Linked DNA regions of Caenorhabditis elegans. The protein of the gene in region 1 interacts with the protein of each later gene in a pairwise test. Each region holds a gene or a part of one and is shown in the gene's direction. Other genes may lie near its edges.

Region 1 (8,077 bases):
ATCACTTAATAATTATTATTAACAAGAATAAATAGTTTCAAATTGATATATTTATTGAGTTCATGTATTTGTACAAATCACGAATCTCCCAGTTAGAAGCATGATGACTAAAACTATTATCCATGGAAAACCCGCGCAAAGAGTCTAAAGTTAAGTTAAAATGAATAATAACTGAAATATGAAAAAGTAACCGATGATATAAAGGAATGAAGAGTAAAATACCCTGCCTACAGATAATTTAAATTATGTCTCCTTGTCGTCTTGCTCATCTCCATCAACTGCATCTGGCTCGGCGACAATTGGCTCAGGTTCTTCAATCTCTGGATTCTTCTCATCCAACTTTCCAACAGGACTCTCCGTTGATGTAACTGTTGTTGTGGATTGTGCCTGATTATCCTCTTTTACTTGAGCTTCTTCCCGTGAATGTTGTGTGGTTACAGTCGTCACAGTAACTTCTTTTTCCTTATGTTGCTCTTCTGCGTTTTGCTCTTCCGCTTGCTTATCCTTTGGCTTCTCGATTTTTGGAGTCAAGTTGTTAAGGTGAGCAGCGTTTTTGAGTTCTTCCTTTTCGAATTGAATACTGGAAAATAAAAACAAATTATATTTTGGTAACGTTAATTGAAACCTACATTCCAATAGTCTGATTGAGTTGGTTGATGAGTTGTGCTTGTGTGGAGACAAGAGAATTCAATGCAGTGTTGTTTCGTTGAAGCTCTTCAGCTTTTTCCTTGAGCGCTGATAGTTCTTCTTGCATTTTTCTGAAAGTGTTGGTTATTTAAATTTGGGAGAAATATATTCATTTAATTAATGAACTGAGCTCTAAGGTTGATTTTTGTTGAATTGTTTTTGATTGGAGTAGTGTAGATTATTACTGTAGTTATTTTTCCCCAACTCACGTATAATTATCGGTATTCGATTTTCCGTCTTTTTCAAGTGTATCAACTCTCAATTTCGTATTTCTCAAGGATGTCATACACTCTTCGTTCTTCTTTGTAATATCATCCAATTGAATTGACACTGACTTCTTCTCACTATTCGCTGATTCCAAATCTGCCATACTTCCTAAAGAAACGATACTATATTTTCAGATAAACGGCAGAAAATTACTAACCAACAAGCTTTCCTTTGGTGAGACTCAGCTGGGCGGATAGTTGTCGAACTTCTTCGTTTGTCTGGGATAAAACTTCTCCTTGAGCTTGATATACGTAGAATGCGTAAAAGAATAATACCTGCAAAAAGTGTATAATTTCATTGACTTCTTGTTAATTATATTACCAGGCAAATAAGAAATACAAAAAGGGGCCAATTCCTCATTGTAGTAGGACGATCCGAGTGTGAACTGCTCCTGAAAGAAAAAAAATTGAATATTTATTTAAACGTTGTCCTTCTATGTATCTATATGTTTGTTTAATGGTTACAAAAAAGGGAAAAGCCACGCGACATCTGCGGCGCACCGTTTCGTTTTTATGCAAACGGAAGACTGCGTGGATGTCATAGATACAAAAAGGAAAGAGACATCGATTTTTGATAGGCTGACGAATGCAAAAAAACGGAGATTAAAGGGGATTTGTAGTAGAATTAGAGGAAATGCATAGTTGTTTGATTTAAAAAATCATCAAAATTCATAAAAACACAGAAAACTGAGTCAATACAAGAAAATTCGAGTATCAAGCTTATGTCTACTGTTATTTTTTCAAAACTGCATTTTAAATAAGAAAAACTACAGAGTTGTGACTCTTTCAGTAGTAATATATAGAGTTATCATTCCAGTGAAAAAATTACAACTCCAATTTCCAGTTTTAACCTAAAATCACTTGAGTACGTATTTCTAATTCAATTACAAAAGCTGATGATGTACTATAGCACTTACTGGGTCTTATGCAAAATTACAGAAACAATTTGAAAACTTGGTTGAGAATTTAAGCCAGAGTAATTTTTTTGTCGGAAAATTCCAATATTCAGTATTTAAAATATAGATGTTGAAGGTAATATATATTCTCAAAAGTACGCAGGCACAGTCGACAGTAACAGGGGCGCCTGGAGTGCCTCTCCACTACCGGCGAGGGCAAGGAGCACCCCTTTTCTACAGATGTTAAAAATTTGTTTTAAATTCAGTAAAGCTGGTGAATTTTACAAATTGTGCACATTTTTGAATCCGGAAAATTTTCAACACTTCGAAGTTGTTCTCAAAATCGGCTTTCAATTCAAATTTTAAACAGGAAAACATCTTTAAAAATATTTGTTCAAACACAGAGTTTTATAAAAAGCTTCTAAAAACTTACCGTATGAGAGGCTTTCTGCTGGATGACATGACGGGGGGATACCGGCAAGTATGTCTTTTCGACGGGCGATGATGGCCGCTGATGATACGGCGAGAGGTTCCGAGACACAGGCGTCCTAAATGTGTTGGAAACTAAACGGCAGAAAATGAGCACTAGAAGGTTGGAGAGTCGGGGAGAGATGTTAGAGTGACGAGGGATGAGGAATGTTGGAAGAGACAACACGAGAGAATAAGACAAAGAGAGATGTCCTGCAAAAGAGAGTAAAGACTTTTCTCCTCTTCCTGCGGGAGTCAGAGAGAGAGCGGCGGGAAGCAAAGAGACCACATAACGATAAGAGACACAGAAAGTTTTGTATCACTGTCTCTCTCATCATTTCATTCTATCTCTTCACCTTCTTCTTCTTCTACTTCAATCCATTCCCATCGCCTTCTCCGTGTGTGTGTTTGTCAGTGTTCGGCAGGAGGCCCTCCTTTGCATTGTATTCCCCTGGAATGCGACCTGCTGCCCCTGGTACTACTCCAAATGGTGCATCTTCTGATATCAGACATCAACGTGGAGTTGCTCCGATCCCATTTGGCTCTACTAATTCAGCGATAGATGCCCATCACAATTCAGTAGGTTTTGGTTTGGAAAAGTGATTGGGTTATTGATTCAGATCTTGATCTGTTTGGCTTGATCACTCCCTAGATTTTCAGCTGAACCATGTGTCATTTGAAAGAGGACCTTTAAACTAGATCGTTGTAAATTTTAAGCGGCAAAGTGTCACGATCTGAAACTTTTTAGTGCTCTTTTCACAACTTTCGAGAGCTGTAGACTTGCTCCAAAAGCTATTTTTTGCAGACATGTTGTTTTTCAGTGATTAAGAGCAATTGAAAATTCTAGGAGTTTTAATAAAATTTTTAAAAATGTTCTCCCCCTAATCAACTCGATCAAAATGCTTTCAGATTTCCGTTTAAAAAATTATTTAACTTAAAAATTACCTCTAGCATTTTCGGACCAATTTTTTCTAGTTCAAAATGCTCTTCTGTTGCTAAATTTTTTGTGGGGTCCTATTCAAAAGGTCTTCTTTTAAATTATATTGGCTTTGCTATTGTTTGTAAATACATCTATAATCGCAAATCATTTTTTTTTGCAGTTCCATGTTTTTTTTTCCTGATTTGAATTTCAAAATCTGTTCAAGATTCGTAGAACTCATTAAAATTTAAAAAAAAATCCTCAAAATTACTTCACCCTTTCTTATTCAACACTTTGGCGTTCCGAGACAATGCGGGGCTTTCATGGCAGACGTTATCACTTGGAATGGCGGTTTTGATAAGAAAATGAAATCACCTAAAATTCCATTTAGAAGCATCACCTTTTAATAGTTTCGTAATCAATGAATCAGTATTTTTCATATGAAAAATATATAAATTGCTCAGAAAAATGTACAATTTCAGTGTTGAAACATTGAAAACTTCCATAGAAACGCAAAGTTTTTTGCTTTAAAGAAATCCTTTTTTTACAAAAATTCTAAAAAATTCGCATCTGGGCAGTGGTACCATAATTTGGCATAACTAATTAAACCAATTGTTTTTCCAGGAAATCCGCGTGGGGCGTCATCGTGCAAAACTCGACGAAATTCGCGAATCGCTGAAAGCTTACGAACATGAAGCCGGTTTATTATCAAGTCACGTGGCTCTTGGATCACTTGCAACACCGTCAAGTTCTTCCGTCAGCCATTCTGACATCACCAATGACAATGCGGAAGTGATGAATTTTTCGTCTTCTTCTTCAAATGCAGCAGCGACGACGACGACAGTCTCGAGCGCTGCTGTATCAAATTCGAATTCTTTTAGAGTGAGTCACATTTCTTTTTTTTTAATCAAAAATGGTCCTGGAAATCGAATGGAAAAACATTTTGAGAGTAAAAAATAAAATTCGATTGGCTGGGAAAATTGTCCGTCAAATTTTCCGTCTAGGTCAGTTCGTATGCCCAAAAAAAACATAACTTTTTTGAAATTTATACATAGACCGGCCGAAAGCGTCATATTTTTCTTCGAAAAAAAAAAGAATGGAATTGTAGCAAACTAGCTAGAAATTCTATTGAATAAAAAATTATGAAATAGGTGGCTCAGCTCAACTTTGGGATTTTATGAAAATTGTCAACTATGAATCGATTTATGATCTTCAAAAGTGGTGAAGGGTGGTGGTTCAAAAGTGAAAAAATCATATTTTCAGACAGAAGGTGGTGGTCACAAGATGCGGATAACACCAATGCCACAAAGACATTTAATGATGGATACTGGTGCCAATGAGACAGTATTTCGAAGTGGAAAAGAGATGATTCGAAATGGAAATCCATCAACAACTATATCATCAACACCTTCTACAACAACTGAAGAGTCGATTAGGATACATCCTGCTGGATATCGATATGATATGCCAACTCCTGCATATCATATGAATAACAATGCACCACAATACTCACCAGGATATGTAAGTTGTTCTCGAAAAAATATAATACTAAAGAATCGGAAAGTACTTTTTCTGAGAAGTCCCACTTAAAATTTTGTTTTAAAAAAATTGGTTTGCGGTGGTTCAGTTTTGAAAAAAGTCCAAATTGTCAATGCGATTATCACTTTTCATATTTTGGTCGTTCGTTCCATGTTTTTCTGTTGATTTGGCTACATTTTCGGTCACATATTTGATAATATTTAGTGCACCCGTAAACTGAAAAGGCACTTTAATCAACGGCGAGACACGTGTGAACAACTAAAATTAGTAACAAAATATACTTCCAAATTGACAAAGTTTGAAAGTTTAAGCTGAAAAGAAAATGGACCAAAACTTTCTTTGAAAAATACTCCTAGTTCAAGCAATAGGGGGACCTTCTTGTGACCTGTTCATAACTTCTGAAATTTTTTTTGTAAAATAAATTAAAGAGTCCAATAAAGTACACACAAACACCCCTAGTAGGCAGACCTGACACTTTAATAAATGAAAATTTTCAGTCTCGACCACCTCCACCAGCCTACGATTCATCTCCGGTGAACACTAGAATGACTCCAGTTGCAACAGACAACTACCGTACTCACCTGCATATGAAAGTTCATCCTGTTGTAAAAGCGCCACCACCGAATCCAACAATGCTCAATCACAACAAGAATATGGCACCCCCACCGCCTCCTCCAGCAAAATCTACGATTTCCATCGAGACAATGTAAGTTTTCTAAACGATATCAGAAGGATTCTATAAATCTTTTGCTTTAACTTTTCAGGAGTGAAGAACGAAAAGCAGATAATATCCAGAGACTTTATCATACATCAATGGACAAAAAAACAGCTAGTAGTGTTGTTAGTATCAATGTTGCTTCTCCTCATACGGTATTTTATGACCTCAAATGATATTAAAATTCATTTTTAATTTCAGACAAAAGTAAATGTTGGTGATAGTCCTCTTCCAAGCAAATCATTCATTATTGGTCCACGGTATACAGCTGATGTCGATAGGAAGAATTTTGTCAACTATAAAGATGAGGTAAATTTGAGAAAAATTCAACTCCTACCTTCTGAAATATTTAACTGATATTTCTAGAGTCATTTTTTTGACAGAGCTCATAAAATATAAGAGACTAAAAGTTTTGTCTTCGCAGACACCCATAATCAGCAAAAATTTGCAAAACTACTTTAGAATCGGTTTCGAGAGCCCAGTTGAATTTTATGAATAGAACAATAATTGTTATAAAGTTCGGGGATAAACCCTAAAAATAAAATGATTTCAGCTGCGTCCCGACCCTCGCCTGATTCCATCCACTTCCGATGCAAATCATGAAGATTTCCGGCCGATCCTTTTCAAACCAAGAAATCTCGAAATCACAATGAAATCACGTGCTCAACCTCCTCCTCCTCAATACAATCAACCCAGTGAGCCACCTCCGAAACGAGTCAGCTCCCCAATTGATCGAACACTTTTGGAACCATACATCAAGAATACACGAAGAGTTCAACCATGTAAACCAAATATGCTTCGATTTTATATGGAACAACATGTTGAACGACTTCTACAGCAATATAAAGAACGAGAAAAACGAATGAAACAGTTGGAAAAGGAGATGGTTTCAGCTCAATTACCGGATATTATGAGGAATAAAATGCTGGGATTACTTCAACAAAAAGAGTCAAAATATACGAGATTAAGAAGACAAAAGATGAGTAAAAGCCATTTCACTGTCATCTCACATATTGGTGTTGGAGCATTTGGAAAAGTTTCATTGGTTCGAAAAAATGATACTCGGAAGGTTTATGCAATGAAAAGTTTGGAAAAAGCGGATGTCATAATGAAACAACAGGTAGGATTTGTTATTTGTTTAGGATCTTGGTTTAAAAATTTGAAAATATTGGTGTCCTACGTTTGAAATAAAACCTTGAATAGAAAGTAAGAAAACTGCAAAGTCTAACATTTTTGATACTCTAGGTTTTTTTTTTTTAATTTAATTGATTCTATATTTGCTACTAGTAGGAAAATATATCAGATATATTGTGAGTCTAGTAGTTTTTAAAATGTGACTGTAAAGCGATATGATCGAAAAATAATTTCAAAACTTTTTGACTAAAAACACCATTTTCTTTCAGGCCGCCCATGTGAAAGCCGAACGCGATATTCTGGCAGAAGCTGATTCTCCTTGGATTGTTCGTCTTTTCTTCTCATTTCAAGATGATGCTTGTCTATACTTCATAATGGAATATGTTCCCGGAGGAGATATGATGACTTTATTGATTCAAAAAGGAATATTTGAAGAAGATCTCGCTAGATTCTACATTGCTGAACTGGCATGTGCAATTGAATATGTTCATAATGTTGGATTTATTCATAGAGATTTGAAACCGGATAATATTCTAATTGATCAACATGGACATATTAAGTTGACTGATTTTGGATTGTGCACTGGTTTGAGGTGGACTCATGACAGAAGGTAAGATTATGTATTGTTTATTTGTCACGAGAAAGAGAGGGTGTCTAATGGAATAGAGCCTAGGCGCGACGCAAATGATTAATTGTAGTTGGTGTGCTCAACATCTGTGCAAAAAATATTTAAGTCACACATGAAACCATCCAATATTTTCTAGATACTATGGACCTGAAAACGACCATCATCGTGTCGATTCATTCTCGCTTCCTCCTGAAGTTGCAGCTATTGATAAAAGCGTTAAAGTTCTAAATGTTCGACAACAAACCCGCCGGATAACCGCCCATTCTCTTGTTGGAACAGGAAATTACATGGCACCCGAAGTAATTGCCAAAACCGGGCACAATCAGAGTTGTGATTGGTGGTCGACTGGAGTGATTTTGTATGAGATGGTATTTGGAAGAGTGCCATTTCATGATGATACACCTGGTGGAACACAACATCGAATTAAGAATTGGAGAAACTTCCTTGATTTTACATATTGTGGAAATCTATCAAAAGAGTGCCTTATGATGATTCAAGTAAGTTTTTTTGTTTAAATAGACGTTGTGAAGACCAAAACTTTTTCAGCAACTAATTTGTGACGCGTCGTCAAGATTGGGATCTCACGGGAAGGATGTTGCCGAACGAACGGCACAAGTCAAAAATCATCCATGGTTCAGGGGAATTGACTGGGTTAACTTGAGAAAACTGAGAGCTGATTATATTTATATTCCTCGGGTCACTCACGATGAAGACACTTCTAATTTTGAAACGTTTCAAGTGAGTTTTTCCTTTTAAACTTTGTTTAGAGTGTCTAAAAAAGTTAGATATAATTTTATGTATGTAGACATAAAAAAGATAGCATCA
Region 2 (8,077 bases), on another chromosome or scaffold:
CAAATGGATCAAGCCTTATGGAAAATCGGATGTTTCATTGGTGGCGTTCTCCGGAAATGGTGTGAATATCTACGAAGTTTCTGACAAAATGATGAAGCTCGGATGGAATTTGAACACTCTGCAGAATCCAGCGGCGTATGTTTATCAATTTTATGAGTTATCAGCTTGCTAAATTTTTTGTTTCAGAATCCACATTTGTTTGACAATCAATCAAGCGAACGAGGAAGTTGTGAATGCGTTCGCCGTCGACCTTGAGAAGATTTGTGAAGAACTCGCTGCAAAAGGTGAACAAAAAGCTGACAGTGGAATGGCTGCGATGTATGGAATGGCTGCGCAAGTACCAAAATCAGTAGTGGACGAGGTTATCGCTCTGTACATTGACGCAACTTATTCAGCTCCACCTTCAACTTCTAATTAATTACTTTTTCCATTGAATTTTCTCTATTTGCACCAATATATCTGTGATTTTTTTTGTAGTAAATAAATATATACTATTCTGTGATTTTTTTCTGTAGTAAATAAATATATATACCAATTATAACGAATTAATTGTCAAGATCTAGCTGAAAAACGGATAAAAACCGAATGTTTTCTCAAATTAAAATTAAAACTCTAATTAAAGGCGCGTCACTTTACTTGAAAGGGTCTCGCCACGATACGCCAATTGGTGGCGGCAGTTTGAATATTCTTGTTTATTTACATCTTTTTGAGTTCTCATTTTTTGGGATTTCTTTGTTTTTGAACAGAATTTTTCGTTTTTTCGATTGAAATTGCATTTTTCTGTGTAAAAAAAAATGTTTTCATTTAATTGAGTCAAAAAATACAGAAATTCAGTTGTAAGTCTGCTATTCGGAGGTTGTGGGGTAATTTCTCCCCTGATTTGAGTAATTAGTTGAAGAAGCTTGGAATTTCGTGATTTTCAGACGGAAAATCATAGAGGTTCACCATTTTTGAACAGGAATGATCAAAATTTCCGTACAAAATTGGCAGAAATATCGAAACCTTTGACAATTTTATTCTATTTTTATGAGTTTCGTTGTTTCTCTGTATTTAAAAGGAATTTATATTGAAAATGAACTTATCAATAGCACACCTAGAAAAGCTCGAATTAATCAAATTTTATATAATTTTTTCTCGGAATTCTTCCACAATTCACCCACATTGTCATGGAACTTTCAAAGATTTTTCACTTCTCACTCGTGTTCTTGTCTTTTACGGCACAAAGAAATCTTTGCTCGTGATCATTGTAATAACCCTAACCTATAACCACAAGGCGTTGCGTACATTTATCGTGGAAACAGCGTGGATGCACACGCACCCACAGATATCATCAAATCTGGTGGGGGATTGTGAGCAGAAAAGAAGAAGAGAAATCAGGAAAACAGAAAGACAAATCGATTCAAGAGACACAAATGTCAGGTGCTTCATTGGAACACAGAGTGTGAAGGATCACAGAGAGCCTAGACATCGTCTCATCTGTCGGTAGCACGGGCTCCCTCCGTAAAGAAGATGGGCTCATGCACGAGGGAAAAATCTGATAGATTTTTCCGCTTGTTTCAGTTTTCCTTCCATGCAAGGAATTTCTGATGTTTGAGATTTTATCCTCGCCTAGTTTCCGGGTCATCATTATTATTATTCTCTCAATAATTATTAATCTTCATCTCCGAAAGTTCTTCCTTAATTCGAATATTATACACGGCATATTAATATTTTTGGAGTATATCTACCTGCTGGCGATCTCTTTCCATAGTTATTTTCATTATTGATTGAAGTTCGGCCACTGACGTCTGTTTCAGCTGCCACTCTAAGAGTTTGACGAGTTTCTTATCAGAGGTGAACAGTCATCGGTCGAAAAGTTGCATATAAATAACCCACGCTTTCCTCCCGTTCTCAACACCAAATTTTTTTGGTATTTTCCGAAGAAATGTCGTGAGTGTGTTTGTGGCATGTGGCATCAAAATAAACATCTATATGTGAGAAAATAAATGAGTCAATGCAGTTCATGATACCAAATGTACCGAAGAACACCCCCACAAACACCAAAAGCAATCACATTTGCATATCTTGCCGCGTCGTCTACTCTCGTAAATTCTAATCCAAAAGAATTGCATTTTAACGCATTCTCAACATCGTGGGCGGCAAAGTATATGTTTTCGGCAATTTCCAAAAAAGGAGATTTTGGTTTTGCAATTTTGTTCAAAATTTAAAAATGCAAACTCCAGCGCGTTTAAAAACAGGATTACTGTTAAATTTTTGAAAGAAATCATTAAAATTCCAAAATTTTACTTTTTTCCGGCAAACTGGTAATTTTTGCACACCACACATTTTTGCCTGACATTCTTGCCGAACGTCTACCGATTTGCCCTTGGTGAAAATTTAGGTAACGCGGGTCACTAGGTTGATCCTTTTCTCCATTTCCTCCCGCAACAAATCTTCACCTTGTTCTCTCCCCCTCTGTCATCTTACCTTCTCATTCAAAGACGCCTAGATGACCTTGAAGATGTTATGAATGTGTTGTGGAAACTTCCGAAACTTGTACATTTTCCAGGATTTGGCAACTTTTTTGTTTGAGTCACATTTTCACTGTTTTGTTCTTTCTATCCGGTCTACAAAAGTGTCAAATTGAAACAATAGACGAATGTGGCAATAAGATGATTCAGAATACGAAAATATTCTTGAAGAACGCCCAAAAAAGAAACTTTGTTTTTTTTTTTGCCAAATGTTCCTCCAAACGGCACACCCTTTCATATTTCTATCGAGAATCGTTAAATTTTCGGTTCTAAACGAACGATGCACATGAAAATGGTAATGAAAGTTCTCTTTCACTGTCTGCGTTTGTCGTTCATTTTTAGTGGGTGTGAAATAGGGAATAAGGTGATAAATTTTGAGAATTGATCATCGCAGTGCCCTTTCTCTTCTTTTTGGACTTTATATGGATACCGCAATTCCTTCTTCAATTGACTCGAGTTTTGACTAGATTTTGGTCAACATTTTAAAGTGTGTTTTTTTTTGTAATTTCGAAACTCGAAAACAGGAGTACGCAGCCATTGCCGACCGGCAATTCTACAAAATGAGACGGTCGAGCATGTTCTCCCGATATTTTTCATTGAAATTTAATTATACATAGAAAAATATTTGCTTTATTTGAAACAACCGAGAAAGTGTTCAAAAATTGTCCGAAAGTTGAAAATTTACGTTATTTTTCCGCAATTTATAAAGCAAATGTTTTTCTATGTATCATCAAATTTCAATGAAAAAAAGGGAAACAAGTTCACCACCTCATTTTGTAGAATTTCCGTGCACCCCAGCTCGAGACTTTATATTCTGGTAGAATGGGCATTTCTCACCAAGTTTTCTTTTAAGTACAACGTTGCCGTTTTTTGTCGTTACCGTATTTCTATTTCTATCCAAAAGATTTTCAAATTAATTTCCCATGTCTTTGGTCTTTTCAATTGGCTACAGTACCCCCCCCCCCCCCTAAAACAATTCTTCCATTTGTACCAGAAGCCGTCCATCCGTGTCTATATTCGTTTGTTCTCTTTGTATTATGTGTCTTTTTCCTACACAAAAAAAATGAAATATGAATCACCATGCACGCGTTTTCTTCAATTCTCTTAGCTTTTCGTTTGAACAAAAACTCTGCTTTCGATTTTATTAAACTTGAAGATTGAAACAAAAAAACTTCAGTTTTTAGTTTTCCAGGATGTTTAGTTTGTTATCTCGTTGATTTCTCATCGTAAATATGGAGCAACTAAATTTTTTATACCATCTCAAAATTCCAACTATTGCCAACTTTACGTGCCACAGCGGCCGGAAATCAGGTTTTTGTTAATTATCACTATTTTGCGCATTTTAGATGTTTATTGTGGGGTTTTCATTAATTATTTTACATTTCAAGTCGTTAGGTGCAGTTTAGACAAAAAAAACCAATTTATGTGCTTATTTACTGAAAATGTACCATAATCAATTAAAGGCAGAGTACCGAAATCTGAAACAATATTTTTTAGACCAAAAATGACCCAAAACTACCGAATTTCGTAATGAGACGTTTTGAAAATTTCTCAAAAAAGTTATGGCGGTTCAAAGTTGTGGAAAAATTACCATTTTTAAGCTAAAATCTCAAATTTTGGCAATTTTCGCAGAGGTTACTTAAATTTTATTTAAAAGAAAAAAGTTTTCATTGGAACTTAATTTTTATTCAATTATCACCTTTTAATGCATGTATTCGCAGTTTATTACGTGTTAAAAATCATTAGAAATGTCGATAGAAAAGAATCGACATTTCTAATGATTTTACCTTTTGGCCGTACGATTTAAATCATGTATTATTCTCTCATTCTCACGCTTCTTTATCAATACCTTGATTTTTGCAGAAGCGAATAATATAGGACTGCTAGAAAACTTGCAATAATCAACGTCTAAAATGGCGCAACCAAAACGCCTTGACCAGGAAGAAGAGGTATTTATTTTCAGAAGACTATACAACTTTCTAACATAAATATTTTCAGGTCGTTCCGGCGATCCGTCACGATGACGCCGAATGGAAGATCATCCAACAGAATACATTCACCAGATGGGTCAAAAATCATTTGCAAAAGGCTGGAGAAACTATTGAGAGTCTGGTGAGTTTTGGATTACTTTATTCAGTGATTTTATATTTATAATTTCAGGAAACTGATTTCTCGGATGGTCTCAAGCTTATTGCATTGGCTCAAGTTCTCTCCCACAAGAATGTTGGAAAATTCAACAAGAAAGTGGCATTTCGTTCACAGAAGCTCGAAAATGTGTCTCTTGCGTTGAATTTCTTCCAGAATGAAGAGAATATTAAGATTATCAATATTGGTAAGCAGTCCTTCACTGAAATCCTGAAAAATAGTATCGTAGAAACGATATATTTTCCTTTTTCGAGACTGCTCCGCGCGGTGAAGCAGTTCAAAAGGACGAATCCGTAGTTCAAACATGTTTTTGTTTGTTTTCAGTGTATGGGAGCTCTCGCCCGAGCACACGGAGTTCCCCTTTCCTCTATTATTACGAACAACATAGGTTGACCACCGTTTTTCGCAACAAAAATACCCATTTTCGGGACTTTAAGCCAATATTTCGACGTGTCAATTAGTGTCGTTTTTAGAGAAAGAATTTCGGAAAAACGGCCACTTTAAAAAACATTCAAAACACTGAATATTTCAATTTTAATTTACAAGTTAATGTTCATTTCGATACTATCTCTTAAAGAAAATCTGAGAAATATTTTCAATTGACTCCAAATTTTTCCCAGATTCTGAATTTCTATGTGAAAAAATTCAAAAAAATTTCCCTGATTTTATATCCAATAAGGATTAAAAATATCTCGTAAATATACAAAATTGTCGTAAATCGACACATGGCGTCTCTGGTGCGAAAATTCGTCGTTTGAAAAATCAGGGAATGTTTTGTGAATTTTCTCATTTTGATTTCAGAATCAGGAGAGAGAACGACAAAAAAAAAAAATCACAAGGGTTACTGTATTTTTTTGCGTTTTAATTCTTTACCACACGAGCTTTACCGAAAATGTCTCGAACTTTTGACAAAGTCTGATTAAAACCTGACTTCTCAATGTTTTGGCTCAATACAGAATCATTCAAACATTTTAATAGTTATATATTCGGTCACCACAACCCATTTTCTATTTAATTGCATTATTTTAAATTACAGACAGTACTCATATTGTGGATCATAACAAGAAATTGATTCTGGGACTCGTTTGGACATTGATTCTCCATTATTCAATTTCGATGGGATGGATTCAAGAAAAAAGAGAAGATGGAGATAATAAGGAGGAGACTCCGAAGCAAAAGCTCCTCAATTGGATTCGTAATCGTCTTCCAGGTACCATTTCGAATTGCAACATTTACTCATCACCCTAAAGTTTCAGGAATGCCGATTTCCAACTTCACTTCCGACTGGAACGACGGAGTTGCTCTCGGTGCACTTGTCAATTCGATGGCTCCAGGAGCACTTGAAGACTGGGAAAATTGGTCGCCAAATGATGCTCTGGAGAACACTGAGAAAGCCATGAAGTCTGCTCAAGATTTGCTTAAAGTTGCTCCACTCATTGCTCCAGCTGAGATGATTCATCCGGAAATTGATGAAATGTCTGTAATGACATATCTTTCACAGTTCCCTGCAACAAAACCAATAATAATGAAGCCAAAGGTTCAAGCGACTATTTCAAATTTGGACAAAATTCTCCAAGTCAATGATCCTAGAGAGTTTGATTTGAAGCTTTCTCGTGATGGATTTAAGCCGAAAGTCTCGATCCGAGATGAAGATGGACAGGATATTCATTTGAGTCTTAAAAAGGTTGAGGATAAAGAAAACGCCTACAAAGTCAAGTTCACTCCTACAAAGATTGGATTTATCCACGTGGATGTAGCCGCGAACGATGTTCACACGTTTGAGACTCAGACCATTCCTGAGGCTAGCGTCATTTGTCAGGTAGAGAAAAAATTTATATATAATCTGAATTTGTTCTTCAGGTTGTTCCAATCGCCCGCCTTCTCGATTATAACAAAACCGCCAAAGTCGGAGATGACGTCAAATTCGCCGTGGTCGACGCCATTGAAGGTCCTGTTGAAGCAATTGTTGTTGATCCAACTGGAAAAGAGCACCGAATGGTTATCTTGGATGGTACATCACCAGGAGAACATTCATTCGAATACAAAATTCCGTGTATTGGACTACATTCAGTCAATGTTTTCCACAAGAAGCTCCCATTGACCGGATCGCCATTCCCACTGCGTGGAAAACCAAAGAGTGCGTATATTTATAAATATAAGAATCGAGTTTCTGGATGCACCACGAATTCAAGATCTGGTGGAATTAGGGATCTGGCACAAAACACAATTTTTCTCAAAGAAAAACGTGACAACTGCTCCATGTTGCGTGTTGTTAAGCATATTTTCTTGAAGAGAACTTTTGAAGAAAACTGTTTTTTCTTCGAGAAAAATTGCGTTTTATGCGTTGGCACGGTGACAGATCCGGAATTCCACTAAATCTTGAATCCATGATGTCTCTGTTTCTGTATTTCAAAAAAGTAATGAAATTGTTTTTCAGATTCGTTCAAAGTGTGGGGACGTGGAATTGCTCCAGAAGGAATTCGCAAAAATGATGTCGTTGGTGTCCACGTTGAATCGTTGGATCCGGAAGAAAATATCGCCAACGCAAACATTTCTTTGGAAGTGTTGAAACCGTCGGATGGTTCTCATCTACCAGTTTCAGTTGGCTACAATGACGAATCTCAGTCAATGGATTTCGAATATTCGCCAAAGCAAGCACCTGATGATCTAGAAGTACTCGTTAAGGTTGCTGGTGAAGTCATCGAATCTCATAAGATCCATGTGGCACCGGAAAGCTCTTCGAAGATCAGAGCATTCGGAGCAGGACTTGAAGGCGGAATTGTAAATGAGCCATGCGTGTTTGATGTGGAAATGAATGGAGAATCAAAAGATCTATCATTTGCTGTTGAAGGACCATCGAAAGCGGAAATCGGATGTCAAGAGAGACCAGATGGTAGTGCTATTCTATCCTATACACCAACTGTGGCTGGAGTTTACAAAGTTGGGGTGCTAGCCGACGGAAAGCATATTCAGGTAACTAAATATTAAAATAAGATGAAACGCTTTAAATTTAACATGTTTTGTTATGGCGTTATTCATGTAGTATTGGAAAATTAAAAGTGTAGAAAAATGACGTCACAACTGTATCAAAATACATGTTTTTATGTATTTAATGGGGTTATTCAAGTAATGTCGGAAAATTGAAAAGTGTAGAAAAATTACGTCAGAACTGTATTAAAGTATATAAAACATGTATTTAAATACATTTGTGACGTCATAATTGTATTTAAAAACATTTTGCAGAATTACTTGAATAATCGGCTTAATCATGTGATGGTGAAAAATGCGAACATGTATTTTAATACATTTTCCCCCTATTCATCAGTGTCGAAAAATGTAGAATAATGCAATCATTTTTGCATATTTCGACATTTGTCCGCATTTCTCTACATCGGCCGCCACCCCACTTCAAATGCTAAAAA
Region 3 (8,077 bases), on another chromosome or scaffold:
GTGAAACTCGTCACTTCCTTTTTCTGTCCGAATCAATGAATCAGGACTAATATTATTTCACGAAAGAGTCTTCAAGTGGTTGAAACCTATGTGCATCATGCATTTTATCCCTTCTGTAAACAATTGGCTCTGTAAAAATAACAGGAAAAAAACGATTTTAGTGTTTGATCAAAGTGCCATATAAAGAAAATGGACCGCTCACAAAATAACGAAATTTAGACGTATTCCGAAACACTAACATGAAGTATTTTCTATTAGTTCTCATTTGCACCACAATTAGTGCTGTATTCGCATGTAAGTTTGATCCAAAATATGTTACAAAAAGTAACATTTTGTTTTAAACAGCTGAATTATAAAAACAATCCCAGATTTAACAAGTTAGGATAAAACGCTCACGGAACGGTTAAATTTTTTGTCATAAAGACTTGGCCTTATTAGTCGTCTCGAATTAAGTTAATAATCACTGTAACTTAAGCTAGGTCCTCCTAAAGACATATTACGCCAACTTTCAAGTATTCCATTTTTGTGACTGAGTGGAAGTTTTTCTGTAATATGGAAAAAAATTAAACATTTTCAGATCCATACTACCAAGGCGCGTATAATCCATACTACCAAAGTTCTTCTGATCCCTACTATCAACCATTCCGTCTCTGGAATAGTCCAACAACATATCAGATTGGCACCGGAGTTGTCCCAACCTATTCGGCTCAAAGTTCGTACAATCCATTGTACCCATATTACCAATACAACTGGGACAATTTCAACACCGACTTTTACAATCCATATAAAAATTGATTATCGAAATAAACTATTGACAGCTTTTAACTTTTAAAAAGATTATTGCCACTACTACAAGACTACAATGTTCATCTCGCTTCCGAAATAGTTTATGTTCTCAAATATTTACTTCACATCTCTGAACCCATGTCACAGAAGCAAGCTCATTGAAACAGAAACATTATAAATTAGAAATTTTTTAATTAATTGCGAAATTGAGGAAGTCAATTTTTTATAACAACCCAATCAAAACTTCATCATCATTATTTTGTGATCAAGTGGCAAACTGTCACTCTTTTCTTTTTTCTAGTAAACACCGAGTGTAGATTGTTTGGATTTTCAAATCTTCTTCTCCACAGTAGTTAGTTGAAAAGTAAGAAAGTTAAATAGAAAGAGGCGGAGTGTCCACGAGTCTATTTGCGTTGATTCATTTTGGCAACCGATCATTGAGTATATAAGTGAAAAGGTCGTCGAAAAAGAACAGAAGTTTCACGAATCATGCAGTTTTTAACGATTTTATCAGTTTGCGTTCTTGCGGTAGCCGCTCAGCAACAATGTGAGTTAAAATTCAATTTTTTATGATTCGAACTAACTCAGAATTAAACTAACTTTAGAAAAACGTTAGAATAATTTTAGACGATAACAATGGACAGACATTCACTACGAATCAATTTGCAGCCGCGTATTCTACGAATCAACAATATCAACCTTCCCAAGGTGCTCAATATGATCAATATGGATCTAGCACTCTTCAATACAACAACGGAGCAACCGCTCAACCAATTCAATATAACCAAAATCAACAATATGGTTCCACGGCTCAGTACAATCAAAATCAAATGCAAAATCAGCAAAACTCGAATCAATATTCAACGACATCAAACATGAACAACCAGCAAAACTCTAATCAGTATCAGCAAGGACAACAAAATAATTACGGAACACAAGCACAATATGACGCTGGACAAAATCAAATGGGACAATCTGGACAAGTGCAAGGATATTCCAATAATGGATATTCTAATCAAAATTCCCAAATGAGCCAGAGTCAAGCTAGCAGTGGAAGTAGCAGTGTCTCCCTTATGGATTATTCTTTCAACAATGGAAACTGTCAGTATAAGGATGGACAAGTGATTGAAAATGGACAGACTAGACAAGCCACTCAACAAGAACTTCAACAAATTCAACAATACAGAAACAGCGTTGATCAATACATGAACCAAGTAAACGGATATGTAAGAATTTAAAATGTTATTTAGTCGTCTAATTTTTCGATTATAGGTTGGCCAATGGATTAACTCAGTCTTCCAAACTCTTCCATCAGTCAACAATTCTTTCCCAAATATCCCAACAATGCCAACCATGCCAACGGTACAAATATCTCATTGAGCCCAAATCTTAACATTTTATCTTTACAGGCTCCATGTTTGTGTAACGCTCAAAATTGTGGAAACACTACAAACACCAATGCCATTGGAAATACCCCACAACGTGATGCTTATGGAAACCAAATGGGATCAAACTCACAATTCCAGCAAGCAAATCAAAATGGACAATACCAAAATACTCAATACCAGCAACAAAATGGTCAAAATGGTCAAAATCAATTCCAACAGTCGAATGGCCAGAACCAAAACTCCCAATATCAGCAGACCAGCAACCAACAAATGAACAATCAACAATATCAAACTGGAGATTATCAACAGACCAACACCCAATCAATGGGATCACCTAATACAGGAACACAACAGTCGAATAATCAACAAATGAATGCACAGCAAACTCAGCAACAGCAACAGTATTATGGAAGAAAGAAGTAATAATGTTGATGCTCATATTGTTCCATTTTAATATTCTTGCCTCAATTGTTTCAATAAAATGTTCCATATACAAGAAAAATCACTTTATTCCAAAAATATTTAGCAATTCTTTTAGAGTTTTTTAAACTTTCAGAACACAAATGCAAATCATATTTGACAAAAATTAAAAATTAATTTCCTATGATAACTTAGATACAAACCATGTGGAAAATTTTGTGTTTATTATGTTTTCTAGATTTTTGTTGTTTCCGTTTTATGTTAATAGCCTACATATGTTTTTGCGGAAAGCATAAAACTTGTAGTGTGAAAACAAAACGTGAAAATTTAGAAAAACTCTGATTGCTACCCGAATACTTCGAAAATTTCACACAAATATTCGAAAAATAACTTGAATATCCTTTTGTATGTGTGTTGTTGCAATAAATCTTCCCGATTGGAAATGCCTGCAGAAGCAGCATCCGAAAACGTGGCACTGGACAAAAATCTGAAGAAGCTGATCTCTTGGCTAACTCCGTCGAGATGTGTTCCCATACGTTGTAATGGGCGGATAAGAAACAACCGACGGACGGGTCCCACGACCACACACACCATACTCACCAACACCGCCATCACCAACAATTGGCGCCTTCAATGTGTCTAGAGTACATCTGTTCTTAATTTTTCTTCGACTCTTTTTTTCGATACCAGACGGATAATTTTGAATGGTTGTTTCAAACAAAGAGAATTCAAATTTTTTTGAGTGATAATTTTGAATTTTCATTAGTTACCATTGCTAATTCTTCAATAAAAATTACCTGGCGTTCCGTTCACACAGTTGAATAAAAACTTTTTTCAAATTTCAAGTAGGAAATTATCATTCATTGTAATTGGTTTTTAGATACTCATTCATTCAACAGTGCGTTTTTACAAGTTTAACGCTAGTTGATTTCCTGAAACTTCTGATTTTGATCTGAGAAAAACAAGTTTTTAATAAATTTTAATCCTTCCCCTTTCAATCATTTTTATCAATTTTTTATCAATATACACGAGATTCAATTAACTGATCACTTTTTCTCGGCTTTCTTCTGTTCCCACAATGATCTGATGCTCCTGCTCCATTTTGTTCTCTATCCATCACCTCTTCCTTCGCCTCTCCGCCCGCATTTTTGTGTTGTTGTTCTCTCTATCTCTCCTTTCCTGCTTCATCCCACTTCTTGATGTGCTTTGGCTCAATGTTTTACACTCTTCCTTCCGAAGCAAGAGGAAGATGAGAGAGGATCCCCAGTCAGAACGTGTGTAATAGTAGGAGAGCACCACAGAAAGTTGGACAACCTTAGGAGTGGGCGGCACTTTTTATACTAATTTTTTGTACTTACTTATTTTTATGCTTGGATATTATTTTTCTTGGAGTATTGTATGTAAACTAAATTAACTATACTCCAAGTTTTACAAAGAGACACCTATTTTGAAGTCCGACTAAAAGAAAACGTATGTCTAAATTTTAAACATATTTTGATAAGTCAGAACAAGCGGTTTTTTGTTTTTCACCCTGCTCCCTTCTCTTCCAAATTTTGCCATCAACAATTGCCAATTGTTTGGAAAGCCATCCCAGTTTTCAGCGTTCTTGCTTGATCCATCATCCTTTCTTTCTCCGGTTTTCAGTTTTTGAAATCTTTTAAAATGTCAGATTACCGTATTTTTGTTAGTAATATTGCCCCGGGGTGCTAAACTCTGAGATTATATTACCTGTTGACACTGGATCTTGCATATTTCTCCAAATTTAACAATCTCGCTCAAATCATGTTAATTTTTTTTCAGTAACCAATAAATTTTCCAATATTTCAGAAAGATCACAATACCATCATAAAATGGCGCCAGGAGGGGCGCCGAATGACGCCAACCTCAGCGCTGTAGCGCAAAGAGGACATAGTGAAGAGGGTGATAAATCAACAACAACACTATCAACAATTGCTGTAAAAGCTGGTGTCAATGCATCAATTGTAGTTGCACTTTTAAAGGTTGAAACTATTTTTATTAATTTTTTAAACCTAAATTCTTTAGAGTGCTGGTTATATCCAACTTCGTGTTGATGAAATGCAGCCGAAGCTACTTTCGATAGGAAATTCATCACAAGAAGCTAGAGATTTGCTCAACATCCATGATGATCTCATCAGAAGGCTTCAAGTGAGTTTCTGTCAAAAGTTGTATTATAATATATTTCTACTGTTCAGGACAAAGATGACCAGGTAGTAGCTCTCTTGAGTCGTGCCGACAGCCTCGGAGCAGAAAAGACGAATCCGAACGAAGCGATTGTTTACGACGAAATGGCGAAGAGTTTGCGGGAGGTTTGTATGCATTTCGGTTTTTTTAGTATTCTTACCCAGCTGCACATAAATCAGCCCATTAATCTGCGTAGTGTAGGAATCCAGACGGAATGCGTTTTCATGTTTTTAGTCTTCAGTACGACCTTAAAAATGTCGCATCTTCAGACGTGGAGATCGTTGAACAGACAACTTCTCCTCAGAGGATATATGCTCAGAGAGACTGTACAGTTTTATACATTGGCTGAAAGTCATGAAAAGGTTAGTTGATTTTTGAAACCGTTTTTTATTGTGATTTTATTAACTGCAGTTATCCAATGCTAAAACTATTGAAATTGTGCAACAAATCAACGAGCAAAACTCTCAACAACTTCAATCATCCATCGATAAGCTTATTAATGGTAAGCTTTGATTTTATAATAAGAAAAAATAAATCTGAAATTTCAGACATCATTGACACAACTGCTTCTGTAGTAGATTTGGGATCTTCCGTCATTTCACAAATTCGTACATTGGGACAACTTGATGACAATCCAGAGAGACCACAAGAGATTTTAGATGCATCAGTAAAAATTGAAAGTGTTATGTTGAGGTAAGCAACTTTTTAAAACCTAGGAATATAGTTCTGCAACTTTTTTTAAAGATCTAAAATTATAACATTTTATTTAAAAAGTAAAATTGAAGAGTTGCTGCTGATTGGGAACGATCCGAAGGACTTTGGCAGCAGCGAAAGTCGGGAGCAACACAACAAAATGCTACAACTACAACAGAAGATGAACTCGTTGTTATTGAACAATGGCTAACTTATGCGGAAAAGAAAGTCAAAGCTCTCAACGATGCTGGACAGAAAAATGTTCTTACTGAAGGAAATGTGGGTTCAATTTTATGTACCTGAAAAAGCAATTACACATTTCAGAAGCATGTATCCCGTCTTCGTCACCTAGCGCAGAGTCCATCATCAGACGGGGGACGTATTTCTCATCTTTCCGGTAGAATTGAGGAATTCCTTCATTATCTGAAAACCCGAATGAATCGATCACATCGAATTCACGCTTTCCTTCAAGCCGCAAAATCGATGGTATCTCAGTTGAATATGATGGTTGAAGACATGAAATGCGCAAATGCGGCTATGGCTGGAGAGCTAGCACCTTTGGCAAAGCAGAAAGCATCTCCTCTTATCCACGAAGGAAAGGATATCGCTTGTAAGTTTTCTAAAAATAATTAACAGGTCAATTATCAATAAAAAGAATCGGTAAAAATTATTCTTGCAGCAAAAGAAGTTCTGAGCTACGAAGAACAACGACTTGTCAAGCAATACGTTGAAGATTTGTCAGAAAAGTTGCGTGAGATAGAAGCTCTTGCAAAGCAAAGGAAAGAGTCTGGAAAGACGACTTCTCATGTACGTTACCATTAATTTATAATAACTTCAAAGGTTATAATTTCCAGTTCTCAAACATCCAATCATGGCTGGATGGACAAGCTTCTGCATTCTTAGCACAGAAAGGTGATATGGGTGGAAATTTGAATGATGCTCGTGATTTCGTTGTCTCTCATAAACAATTTGCAACTGAAATCGTCAACCGAGACGCTGACGTTATGAGTCTTCTCGCCAAGAAGCCACAAATGTCTCCAGATGAAGAACAACAACTGACCGATTTTATGAAGAAGTATGAAAAAATAAAAGACATTTCGGAGAACCGAATTCAAATTGGCTCCACTTACGAGCAAGTTCACAAGTTTGGAAAAGACCTTGAAGGTTCATTTGATGCTCTTCAAACACTTTTGGAGAACAATCAAGAATATACAAATGAGAAAGTGGCGGCACAAATTTCCAACGTGTTCCAGATGATTTTAGAAACTTTGAGTCAAGAGAAACATCAAGGTTTGTTACCATAATTTGGTTGGTATTTTTAAAACGTAATCTTTCAGCTGAAAAGTTCATATCAAATGCAACTCAAATCGGAAAATCAGACGAGTGGTTGAATATCCAAAGAGCTCAAGAAGCAGTTCGCAATATGATTACCGACCATGAGAACAGATTCAAATACGTTCAACACAAATGGACTGAGTGGCAGAGAGATAAGGTAAATCGATAAAATGTAGGATTTGCAAAAGTAATTTAAAAATTTAGAATGTACAAACCAAAGTTGAAACTGTAATCGAAGAGATTCAAATGTGGCAGACAGATGTTTTAGAGTTTATTGGAAAGGTCGATAACTCAACGGTCACAAAGAAAGAGGTATTGAATAATTTTTCACTGTAATTTGGTAGATTATTTATTGCTTCAGGAAGTTGAGGAGATTCAGAAGAGGATTGCTTCATTCAAAAGTGCTGCTGATATGCATAAATCAACATTAGAGACATTGAAAGAAGAAAACCAAAATGAAGAACAAATCAGTAGAATCAACGTTTTAATTGATAAAACTGATTACGTCAAAACACGGCTTGATCAGTTGAGCCAGAAAGTTGAACTTACCTCTTTGCTCAAAATTGTGGAAGATGTGCAAATATGGCAAGAAGAAATGGTTGAAATAATAAGAAACATGAATCAAGTTGTCACTACTCAATCCAACAACCAAGAGCAGTTCGAGCAAGTAAGGCGAAAAATTGAAGATTTGAAAGTTGAAGTCGACAAGAAGAGCGAACATTTGGAAGCATGCAAAACACTTTCGCATAGTTAGTTTAAATTTTAAAACATTCAGAAAAAGATTTCAATTTTTAGATGAGACATTCCAAACTCAGCTGCATAAAACAATTGAGAATCAAGAACAAATCCGTCGTACTACTATCGAACTTCAAGAGAAGTTGGAAGTATCAAAGTTGGTTCGGGTGGTGCAAGAGATTCAGATGTGGCAAGAAGAAGCTATTGAGATTATCCGAATGTTGGACAGAACTCAGCCGGCAAGCATTCAAGAAGCCAATGAACTGATTGACAGAGTTCATGATTTGCAACAGACCATCGAACACAAGTCAGCTAGAATTCAAGAAGTCAAAAAAATGTCTCAAGGTTTGTTTGCAACGGTTGCGCTGTTTTTTCTTGAATGCATTTGAAAAACTTTATTTTTTTTTTCAGTTCCCGAATTTGTGCACAAAATGGAAGAGGTAGAGCACGTTCAAGAACAACTCAAACATCTGACAGTTGAATTGGAAGAAAAGTTGGAGCAACAGAAACTCGTGAAA

Evidence for each region.
Region 2: the proteins of wts-1 (region 1) and fln-1 interact in a two-hybrid assay, tested with the Caenorhabditis elegans proteins (one large-scale study listed by BioGRID).
Region 3: the proteins of wts-1 (region 1) and F21C10.7 interact in a two-hybrid assay, tested with the Caenorhabditis elegans proteins (one large-scale study listed by BioGRID).

The regions. Positions count from the first base shown.
Region 1 is NC_003279.8:10,292,543-10,300,619, reverse strand, and holds the start of wts-1 (Serine/threonine-protein kinase WARTS homolog), read left to right. Parts: upstream 1-2,692; 5' UTR 2,693-2,773; coding exon 2,774-2,896; intron 2,897-3,860; coding exon 3,861-4,118; intron 4,119-4,499; coding exon 4,500-4,757; intron 4,758-5,272; coding exon 5,273-5,481; intron 5,482-5,539; coding exon 5,540-5,645; intron 5,646-5,691; coding exon 5,692-5,799; intron 5,800-6,043; coding exon 6,044-6,610; intron 6,611-6,893; coding exon 6,894-7,234; intron 7,235-7,388; coding exon 7,389-7,749; intron 7,750-7,798; coding exon 7,799-7,990; intron 7,991-8,077. Other genes in the region: T20F10.2 (Si:ch211-1a19.3), read right to left, coding at 244-580, 630-758, 897-1,062, 1,112-1,229, 1,276-1,345, 2,283-2,311. UniProt on the Caenorhabditis elegans protein: Phosphorylates yap-1 which may negatively regulate yap-1 nuclear localization. Plays an essential role in larval development.
Region 2 is NC_003282.8:372,359-380,435, reverse strand, and holds the start of fln-1 (Calponin-homology (CH) domain-containing protein), read left to right. Parts: upstream 1-4,423; coding exon 4,424-4,459; intron 4,460-4,508; coding exon 4,509-4,622; intron 4,623-4,670; coding exon 4,671-4,842; intron 4,843-5,691; coding exon 5,692-5,865; intron 5,866-5,905; coding exon 5,906-6,474; intron 6,475-6,515; coding exon 6,516-6,792; intron 6,793-6,832; exon of another isoform or gene 6,833-6,915; intron 6,916-7,092; coding exon 7,093-7,628; intron 7,629-8,077. Other genes in the region: spl-1 (Sphingosine-1-phosphate lyase), read left to right, coding at 1-135, 187-418.
Region 3 is NC_003283.11:9,108,346-9,116,422, forward strand, and holds the start of F21C10.7 (Ig-like domain-containing protein), read left to right. Parts: upstream 1-4,421; 5' UTR 4,422-4,444; coding exon 4,445-4,594; intron 4,595-4,637; coding exon 4,638-4,760; intron 4,761-4,807; coding exon 4,808-4,921; intron 4,922-5,065; coding exon 5,066-5,158; intron 5,159-5,207; coding exon 5,208-5,298; intron 5,299-5,344; coding exon 5,345-5,489; intron 5,490-5,581; coding exon 5,582-5,768; intron 5,769-5,813; coding exon 5,814-6,099; intron 6,100-6,168; coding exon 6,169-6,296; intron 6,297-6,343; coding exon 6,344-6,779; intron 6,780-6,826; coding exon 6,827-6,981; intron 6,982-7,028; coding exon 7,029-7,136; intron 7,137-7,185; coding exon 7,186-7,573; intron 7,574-7,619; coding exon 7,620-7,904; intron 7,905-7,970; coding exon 7,971-8,077. Other genes in the region: F21C10.18 (Nematode Specific Peptide family, group B), read left to right, coding at 240-294, 578-795; pqn-31 (Prion-like-(Q/N-rich)-domain-bearing protein), read left to right, coding at 1,276-1,333, 1,414-2,012, 2,059-2,148, 2,196-2,597.